Linked DNA regions of Arabidopsis thaliana. The protein of the gene in region 1 binds, or shares a complex with, the protein of each later gene. Each region holds a gene or a part of one and is shown in the gene's direction. Other genes may lie near its edges.

Region 1 (3,878 bases):
GATATCGAGACAAGAAGTGAGGGATGCAGCTAGAAATTACATTGGGGACACTGGTTTGCTTGATTTTGTGTTGAAGTCGCTTGGGAACCAGGTGGTTGGAAACTATTTGGTCCGACGTAGTCTAAATCCGGTGAAGAAAGTGCTAGAGTATTCCTTGGAGGATATATCAAATTTGTTACCAAGTAGTAACAATGAACTCATAACCCTTCAAAACCAAAACTCAATGGGGAAGATGGCGACAAACGGTCACAATAAGATCACAAGAGGTCAAGTTATGAAAGACATGTTTTATTTTTACAAACACATTCTCATGGACTACAAGGGAGTGTTAGGCCCCATAGGAGGTATATTGAACCAAATCGGAATGGCTTCAAGAGCAATCCTCGACGCTAAGTACTTCATCAAAGAGTATCACTACATTAGAGATACATCGGCGAAAACGTTACACTTAGATCGAGGGGAAGAATTAGGAATATTCTGCACGATCGCGTGGAAATGTCATCATCATAACAACGAGATAAAAGTTCCTCCACAAGAATGCATTGTAGTGAAGAAAGATGCAACATTGAGTGAAGTGTACGGAGAGGCAGAAAGAGTGTTTAGAGATATCTATTGGGAACTAAGAGACGTCGTGGTGGAGTCAGTGGTGGGTGGTCAAATAGAGATCACAAGGGTCGATGAAATGGCCTTGAATGGGAATAAGGGATTGGTGTTAGAAGGGAACGTAGGAATGATGATGAACATTGAAGTGACGAAATGTTATGAAGATGATGATAAAAAGAAGGATAAGAGAATAGAGTGTGAGTGTGGAGCAACGGAAGAAGATGGAGAGAGAATGGTGTGTTGTGATATTTGTGAAGTATGGCAACACACAAGGTGTGTTGGTGTTCAACACAATGAGGAAGTGCCTCGCATTTTTCTTTGTCAAAGTTGTGATCAACATCTTATTCCTCTCTCTTTTTTACCCTAAATCATTCATGTTATATTAAACCTTCTTTTTTTCTATCATTACGTCATAATACATAAATTATACTCCTCGATCAACGTGAATTCTAATGATCCCTCCTGCGTCTATATCACCAACATGTTGAATCACAAAGTCATATCCTTGCCTCCTCTGGAGCCTGACTGTTCTAATAATATCATTATCAACATGTCGCTCTCCTCTTCCCCTGATGACTCATGTGACGTCATCTACTCCAACCGTGATTCCAAGTTTTACTTGACAACAACCTTAAGGCTTGTCTCCAAGAAAAGGCAGTTAAATTTTAACAGAAAATAATTCACAACACAAGGCGGAGAAAGAAGTGTGTAGTGTTTTAAATAATTTAGGCTTACAATTGATGCAAAAACAAAATTACAAACAAAAGAAGGTTTACATAATTTAAATAATTTAGTTTTACAATTGATGCATTTGGAATTAATAAATTATTTCTTCATTAACATGGAACAATATCAAGTTATTGCAAACAAAGGAAATGAAAGAAAAACAGTCATGTGTTTAACAACTCTGTTCAAGGTCAACGTCCTAAAAAGTTTCTTATTATATTGACTGAAGATGGAAAACTCCACGGACTATCTACGTTTGTGATATTGTTTCTAGAAATTGGGACTTACATCCAAATCTGGAAGAACAATCTTCTAAACACTACCAACAAAGTCATGAGATTCGATGAGTAAACTAGGGAACAATGAAAACTGAAAAGGGCTCAACCTAGGCTTCGCTGTTGCTACAATTTCGTGAAAACATTAAAGCACAATCAGATACGTGTAGACATCATCATAATCTAATGATTCAACCCTTTAATGCGTTTTTAGTGCGTCGTTACATATTCAGTGTTTATTGGTAATATAGCAATATTCCTGATAAAGTTCATTGGTCGTAAGTCGTAACGTTTACATGTTTTATTCAACTCTTAAAAACCAATAGAAAATCTTAATGTACTTGGCCTTCTTATTCTTGTCGGCTTAATGTACTTACTTAAATACAACGACTTGAATTGCAATAATTCGATACACGAAGGAGAAGCCAACTTAGACTAAGTCAAGAAACACATTGAATCATAAACGTGCGCGTTTCTCACACTTCTTCTCCTCTCCTTCCTCGTAAACACTCTCTTACTCACATTCATATATATAACTAAACCTTGCAGATTAACCAAATCAACAAAAAAAAACAGACTTTTGATAAATTCACAACGAAGAAGAAGACCTAAAAGATCGGGACTTGAAACTATGATCAAATCAGAAGCAGATCTCTCCGATGTGATCGTGATTCGTGACGTTTGGGCTTATAATCTCGAGTCAGAGTTTGACCTAATCAGAGGAATCGTCGAAGATTACCCATTCATCTCAATGGATACAGAATTTCCCGGCGTGATTTACAAGGCGGATCTCGACGTTCTCCGCCGTGGAAACCCTAATTATCTCTACAATCTTCTCAAATCCAACGTTGACGCTTTAAGTTTGATCCAAGTCGGTCTTACTCTCTCCGACGCCGACGGAAACCTCCCAGATCTCGGCGGTCAAAAAAACCGTCGATACATCTGGGAATTCAATTTCCGTGACTTCGACGTGGAGCGTGATCCACACGCTCCTGATTCGATCGAGCTACTCCGTCGTCACGGGATCGATTTCGAGCGGAACCGTCGCGAAGGTGTTGAATCGGAGAGGTTCGCGGAGCTGATGATGTCATCGGGGTTGATCTGTAACGAGTCTGTGAGCTGGGTGACGTTTCACAGCGCGTATGATTTTGGTTACCTTGTGAAGATTCTCACGCGCCGGCAGCTTCCGGTGGCGTTGCGTGAGTTTTTAGGGTTGCTTAGAGCTTTCTTCGGTGATAGGGTTTATGATGTGAAACATATTATGAGGTTTTGTGAGCAGAGATTGTATGGTGGTTTGGACCGGGTTGCTCGGTCTCTTGAAGTTAACCGGGCGGTTGGGAAATGTCATCAAGCCGGTTCGGATAGTTTGCTGACGTGGCAGGCGTTTCAGAGGATGAGGGATTTGTATTTCGTTGAGGATGGGGCGGAGAAACACGCCGGAGTTTTGTATGGTTTAGAGGTTTTTTGAGGGATTTATAATTAATTAATTTAATTAATCTTTGTTAATCATTTATACAGTCGAAATCGAAATTATCTTATTCATCTCTCGTTTTAACCAAATCCAAAAACCAAAACGAAATAACTCAATTTGGTTTTGTTTAACCAATTTACACTTCAAAACTTTTTGTGCAGTAAAATATTATCGTTACGTTAGAGCTAGGCTTTGAGGTATAACTTTGATTTTTGTTGGTGTTGTTTAATAGTTTACATCTAGTCATGGAATCATAAATTGAAATTATTCACAATATTGTAACATCTATATATAGAGAGAGATATGAGGAGGATTTAGTTCCTCATTTTGAAGAAGTTTGGTGTGAGTCATCATCATTGTTATCAAGAGGATTGTTAACATATAGACGAAGCAATCTCCCAAGTGACTTCCCACGTCGGTCGTGTGGTGGTTGGAGATGTGAACAGACGTCGACAAAAGCACGGACGATGAGATTGTGTTGAGGAGAAGGGTTTATGTCCAAGAAACACCTTAGAAGCTCCTTAAGTTCACTTTCCGTCTCGATATATCTCTCTTCGATCATCTGATTCATCGACTTCTTGTAATCTTCGAACGGATTGATTGATTCTTTAGCCATCGCGACGCTCTCATCGATCTTAGGACATGGGCTGCGTAAAACCGTGGGAGAAACCGGTGGTCCCGGGGTGTAGTGGCTGTGAGAGGAAGGTGGAACGGTAGAGCCGCAACCGCATGCCATAAAAATGGGTTTGAATATGGTTTTGAGTATATACTTCATCATCTTCTTGAAAGACATTTTTTTTTTT
Region 2 (6,214 bases), on another chromosome or scaffold:
TACACGATCGTTGTGATTGGCGAGATCTCCACAGCTGAGGCTCATGCAGAAGGATACTGAAAACAGAGTACTTCCCAGATCGATCTCAGTTATAATTAAGAACTAAGTTTCGTGCATCATGAAGAAAGTTCTAATAAAGGTCTGAAATTTTAAAAGTTCGGATTTTTATAAACATCAAGAACAAAGTTTGAAGTTCAGAACCAGGGAACTAAATAATTGATCTAGACCGCACCGGCTGGTTCAACCACAGTATCACGGTTTTATCTGTCCAATTGACCAATCTGGCCCATATTATTTTACAAATAAGATCTTTCAAATTGGCCCATATTTAACAAAAGAAAATCGAATTAATATTATGGTTTTCTAAATGAACCAAAATCAACTCAACTTTTTTTTTTTGAATAATTTTATTTTTATTCCATAATTTAATTTGTTTATCATTTCCAATGAAATTTTATCATTAATAAAAAAGGTTGCTCTCCTCATCCCTTCCATCTTTCCTTTCACATTTTTTAGATTATACCTCATGTTTGAATAATATTGGTTTACATATCTAATTCATATTGAAAAACCCTCCAAATCTCTAGAGAAAAAGGACGATAAGAGTACTTAACTCACAAAGGGCAAATACCCAACTTTTGAATCTCCTTACATATTTTATGACAAACTATGAAGGTGTCCTCCAAATACTCTTTAATCATCTTTTGATTATCATCTATAATGATTGTTTCTTCAGACCTCATACCCATATCTTCGAGCGGTTTTAGTATCTTTACTGTCTCGTTAAATAGATTCTCATTTACCATTTCTAAGCATTTCTTCTCTTCTATCGTTAGATCAACTTTCAATTTTTGTATGTCTTTGACGGCTTCCAACAAAACTAACAACAACAAAAAGAAAAATCAAATCAAAAGATTTCACTATAAAGAACAAAAAATAAACAAATTGTTAGTTACCATCATAGAACAAATAATATTCAGCTGCCACAACCCTTTTGAAAAGTTGAATACGTTCTGTGCTTTTGCTCATCTCAACAATTTTGATTAAAAAAAAAAATATCTAATGCATTCTTTGTTACAAGGTCGAGATGTTATTTTGTAGCGTATATAGTGTTTGAGGCTTCTTTGTTTGGAAAAGATCGCTTTCGAAAAATAATAATTATTATTATTTTCCATGTTATGCTTCATATAAAATGTGGACTCAGGCCTCCGAAATAACAAATAGAAAAAATTGTGTTGAATGCTTAAAAACGAGAAAGAAATCTCTCAACTTTGATTTACTGGACACGCATTGTATTTGTTTTCTATAATTAGTTCAAAATAATAATTTGTAAATAGTTATCTAAATTCGGTAAAATACAAACCGATAACTTTTCATATCAAATACAACAAAAGTTAGATATAAATCTTAAATTTCTATACTTTAAAATTGAGTAAACCTGAAAAGAATGAAATTTAGTCTACCTAAATTTATTAAAAACCAACAAAATTTTCATAATTCGAACCTTAATTATTTCAGGTTTGAACCGCTTATATTTATGAAAACCAAATGAACTAGCTAAAACGAAAACAAAAGCGAAAATGAACATGACAATTTTGACAATGTTAAAATGTGATTCTTTCATTAATTTGACAAATTCAACAATTCTTAAGAAGATCAATTGAATTGATAAACTATGCTGCTCTTCTTGGGTAATTCTCACATTTTAAAAAAAAAACAAAAAAGAAGAAGAAGTTAATTCTACCTTAATCTGCAACAAATCGTCTTCAAGATAATTATATCACGAATTGATATTTCTTGTCTCTTAATCTTAACGAAGAAACTACACCTCCTGGCTCCTACTGAATGTGCGTTGAACACTCACCTATTGACTCATCTTCACCATTCCTTCTTTCTTCAATCTATCATAGATATAAATACACTTCTTTTAAGTCACCAATCTTGTTTTCGTAATGGTACGAGTCATAAATCTTGATTTGTCTTTGGTAAGTCATGTTTAGTTGTGGATTATTTGTTTTTACGCATTTTCTAGATTTTAAAATTTTATCTTTATATAAACAAAAATAAAACGAAAAACTTTCAATCTTTGAGCGCCAAAACCAAAATTTTCATCGAAAAGGAAGATCAATTAAAATATTATAAAATTTCATAATAATGTCTTCAAAGCACAAAATAATAGTTTTAGTATTAAACCCACTCGGGGAAAAAAAACACATAAAAAAACCAAAATCGATTTCATTGATTTTTTCCATATTCACAGCGAAAGAATCGATCCTTAATACAAAATTCCTTCAAGATCTCACATCTCTTATAAGCTTTCTCGATACCATCATTTTCCTTTCTTTTTTTCTTTTCTTCGATTCTAATTTGGTTCTGCCGGATCTTCAACCTTGTCTGAAGAAGACATTTTCTAGGGTTTCTAGAGATTGGTCGGGTTTTCGGTTCAAGTAAATGGTGGATCAGCCTATCGTACGCTCCACTTCATTAGGTTATCAACGACAATATTCATCATCTAATAATCATCATCAAGGTCTTGCTTCGATTCTGAATCTCTGCTGCTGCTGCTTCGATAGTGTTCTTCGACAATCACCAGGTGTTATTGAAAAGCAATGCTGAGCGTGATCCGAGTGCATCTTCCTTCTGAAATTCCCATTGTGGGCTGTGAATTGACTCCTTACGTCCTTGTTCGTCGTCCCGATAAGAACTCCACCACTGATGACGTCCCTGAATCTGCTCCTCTTGAAGGCTACTTCTTGAGATACAGATGGTTAGATTTCTGATTGGCTCTTTGTCTAATTGCTTTCTTGGATCATTTGGCGAATTGGGGTTTATCAAAGATTGAATTTTGATCTGAATTCAGAGATTTCTCATGTAGATGTTCTGATTTAGGTCGTCAAATGGTTTTTGTGTGTAAAGTTCTGATCTTGTTGTAGATTCATTTTTTGGATTTATTTGTTGTAGGTATCGTGTACAGAGTGATAAGAAAGTAACGATTTGCAGTGTGCATCCAACGGAACAAGCTACTTTACAGTGTGTTTTCTGTTCTAAGCGTAGATCCCTTGTTCCAAAAAGCTATCACTGTTCGCCAAAATGCTTCACGGATGCGTGGCAGCATCACAGGACTTTGCACGAGCGAGCAGCTGCGGAAAACAACGCAAACGAGGATGATGACTTGAACAGGAATAACAGTGCGGGTTCTGGGTCTCTCGCTGGTTCCTTATCTGGGTCTATGTCAAATCTTAGTATTGCCAACAATGGTCCAGCTCCGTTTTATCCTTCTAATATTACTCAGAAAAATGGAGGAGAGACTTTAGTTGAGGTTGGGGGTTGCAAAACGTACACTCCAACAGCTGATGATATTAGCCACGTTTTGAAGTTCGAGTGTGTTGTGGCTAATGCTGAGACTAAACAGATTGTCGGACATCCTAGTACCATTTTGACTTCACGGGTTATTCCTGCTCCTTCTCCAAGCCCCCGTAAGCTAATCCCTGTTAACGGAGCTGATGGGATGGGTCACTTAGATCAAGATGCTCGGATTCAGTCTGCAGGATCATTCACTGTTCTTTCATATAACATTTTGTCTGATACTTCTGCAAGTAGCGACCTCTACAGTTACTGTCCTCCTTGGGCTCTTTCATGGCCATACCGAAGACAGAATTTGTTAAGGGAGATTGTTGGATATAGAGCCGATGTAGTTTGCCTGCAAGAAGTATGTTATTCGTATGGACTTGGTAATGATTTAAAGCATTTTAATTCTGAAAAATCTACTTCTAATGTGTTCTTTTTTTTGTTATCTGGCAGGTACAAAGTGATCATTTCCATGAAATTTTTGCTCCTGAGTTGGATAAGCATGGGTATCAAGCTCTTTACAAGAGGAAGACTAATGAGGTTTGGTCAATGATTCCACACACTCCTTCCTTCAGTGATTTATGTTTTAAAATCTATTAACCACAAATTTCTTGTTGCTAGGTTCTCAGCGGAAGTACAAGTGCCATTGACGGCTGTGCAACATTTTTCCGGCGGGATAGGTTTTCGCATGTCAAGAAATATGATGTTTGTATTCAGTTCTATATGTTTACTTGCTAGATCCAGTAAGATCTCTATACTAATTCATGGACTGTAAATCCAGGTTGAATTCAACAAGGCTGCTCAGTCTTTGACTGACGCTCTAATCCCTCAGGCTCAGAAGAGAACTGCTTTAAACCGACTGGTTAAGGTATTTTTGACATGGTATACAATATTTTTCTGGGCCACAGCTGATTATCAGAGAGTTATTGTTTACAAAACTGAAACCAATGATTCTTATGTTGTAGGATAACATTGCGTTGATAGTTGTTCTTGAAGCCAAATTTGGTAATCAACCTACTGATCCTTCTGGGAAGCGCCAGCTTATTTGTGTGGTACTGGTTCTTTTTTTTTTTCCATTCTCATGAGAACTGTTAGTTTCTGTATATGCTCTTTTAGTGAAAGCCAATGAATTTTCTTATTTTGTTGTGGCAACTTGTTTAGGCAAACACACATGTAAATGTTCAACAAGATCTGAAGGATGTGAAGCTCTGGCAGGTTGGTGTATCTCTATATCCGAAATAAATCAAATTTCATTGAACTCGAAAGAATTAGTATTCACCTCATGTTTTCTTTTATTCTTTTGCGTTTAGGTTCATACCTTATTAAAGGGACTAGAGAAAATAGCAGCTAGTGCCGATATTCCTATGCTTGTGTGTGGAGACTTCAATACGCTTCCTGGGAGGTTTGTTGATTCATAAATTCTTTTGACATGATACATGAAATGCAGAATTCTCTTATGAGTAGCTAAAGTTTTTCTTTTTGGCATTTTTATGACAGTGCACCTCATACACTTCTTGTAATGGGAAAGGTTGATCCAATGCACCCAGATCTGGCAGTCGATCCCCTTAATATCCTGCGTCCTCACACCAAATTGACTCATCAATTGCCTCTGGTAACATTGCTTTTTTCGATTTAAGTAAATTTATACCGCTTATCTTTGCGTCTCTCTTGGATATTTGATAAATGAATTGGTTTCAGGTGAGCGCGTACTCATCGTTTGTGAGAAAGGGAATAATGGGTCTTGGATTGGAACAACACAGAAGGAGAATAGATCTTAATACAAACGAGCCTTTGTTTACCAATTGTACAAGGGACTTCATCGGCACTCATGACTACATATTCTACACAGGTTTCACCATTTTTAACTCCATTGTCCTTGTTTTCAACTACATCAGAAATAACAAGTTAACTTAATTGGAAGATTTTTTTGTGTTTGGGTTTCAGCGGATACATTAATGGTGGAATCTCTATTGGAATTACTGGATGAAGATGGATTAAGAAAAGACACAGCTCTTCCTTCCCCAGAATGGTCTTCTAATCACATTGCTCTCTTAGCTGAATTTCGATGCACGCCTAGGACAAGACGCGGTTAACCGCCTTCACCACCCACCATCATTTGCTTACAGATAGGTTTTTTTTTTTTGTTCCGATCTTCTTCTTTGATCAGACTATGACATCAACTGTTTAGACGAAACCTTTACCAAATCTGTGATAGAGATGACACAAAGATTCAAAGGGATTCTGAGTAAGGCAAACCACTCTATGAAGTTGGTCATTCTTTATTATGACCCCTGTGTGGCTCTGTCTAAACCTCCTTTTATATCTCATTTTGATCCTCAATATAGTGAAAACCCTTTGACTTTTCTTTTCCTTGGATCAATTTTAATGTTTGAACTGCTTTGTATGACTAAATAGCTCATGAGAATAATATGGGTCTACTAGGGGGTTTTCTTTTTTCACATTGAACAAAGAGACGATTCGTGTCTACTACATAACCATTTAAAGAGCAAACATACACATCTGTGGCTGCTCCCTAATAATAAACAATAGAGATAAGTGAGAGAGAAAGAGAACATAATCGGTTCTTGAAGAATTGAAGTTAAAGCTTAGTCCCACGCACTAGCCACTCCAGGACCATACCCTTGGTTAGGAACGGTTCCATATCCTCCAGGACCATAGTAAGCACCACCACCTCTACCATAAGGTGCATAACCACCACCCGGAACATTTCCATATCCACCACCTGGTACGGGTCCGTACCCACCAGGCATTGCTCCATAGCCACCACCAGGAACGCCTCCATATCCACCACCTCCACCATAGTAGTCAGCACCACCACCGCCTCGACTAAAAGATTCTCTCCTGA

What was found.
Region 2: CAF1b (region 1) and AT3G58580 share a complex: the UniProt entries of both Arabidopsis thaliana proteins name them as parts of the CCR4-NOT complex.

What each region holds. Positions count from the first base shown.
Region 1 is NC_003076.8:7,364,799-7,368,676, reverse strand, and holds CAF1b (Polynucleotidyl transferase, ribonuclease H-like superfamily protein), read left to right. Parts: upstream 1-1,877; 5' UTR 1,878-2,235; coding exon 2,236-3,072; 3' UTR 3,073-3,200; downstream 3,201-3,878. Other genes in the region: MS1 (RING/FYVE/PHD zinc finger superfamily protein), read left to right, coding at 1-970; OFP10 (Ovate family protein), read right to left, coding at 3,398-3,878. UniProt on the Arabidopsis thaliana protein: Ubiquitous transcription factor required for a diverse set of processes. It is a component of the CCR4 complex involved in the control of gene expression.
Region 2 is NC_003074.8:21,660,093-21,666,306, reverse strand, and holds AT3G58580 (DNAse I-like superfamily protein), read left to right. Parts: upstream 1-2,211; 5' UTR 2,212-2,609; coding exon 2,610-2,767; intron 2,768-2,961; coding exon 2,962-3,709; intron 3,710-3,801; coding exon 3,802-3,888; intron 3,889-3,969; coding exon 3,970-4,053; intron 4,054-4,129; coding exon 4,130-4,216; intron 4,217-4,313; coding exon 4,314-4,400; intron 4,401-4,509; coding exon 4,510-4,563; intron 4,564-4,658; coding exon 4,659-4,750; intron 4,751-4,845; coding exon 4,846-4,960; intron 4,961-5,046; coding exon 5,047-5,197; intron 5,198-5,292; coding exon 5,293-5,441; 3' UTR 5,442-5,709; downstream 5,710-6,214. Other genes in the region: AT3G58590 (Pentatricopeptide repeat (PPR) superfamily protein), read right to left, coding at 1-45; AT3G58570 (P-loop containing nucleoside triphosphate hydrolases superfamily protein), read right to left, coding at 5,955-6,214. UniProt on the Arabidopsis thaliana protein: Acts as a catalytic component of the CCR4-NOT core complex, which in the nucleus seems to be a general transcription factor, and in the cytoplasm the major mRNA deadenylase involved in mRNA turnover.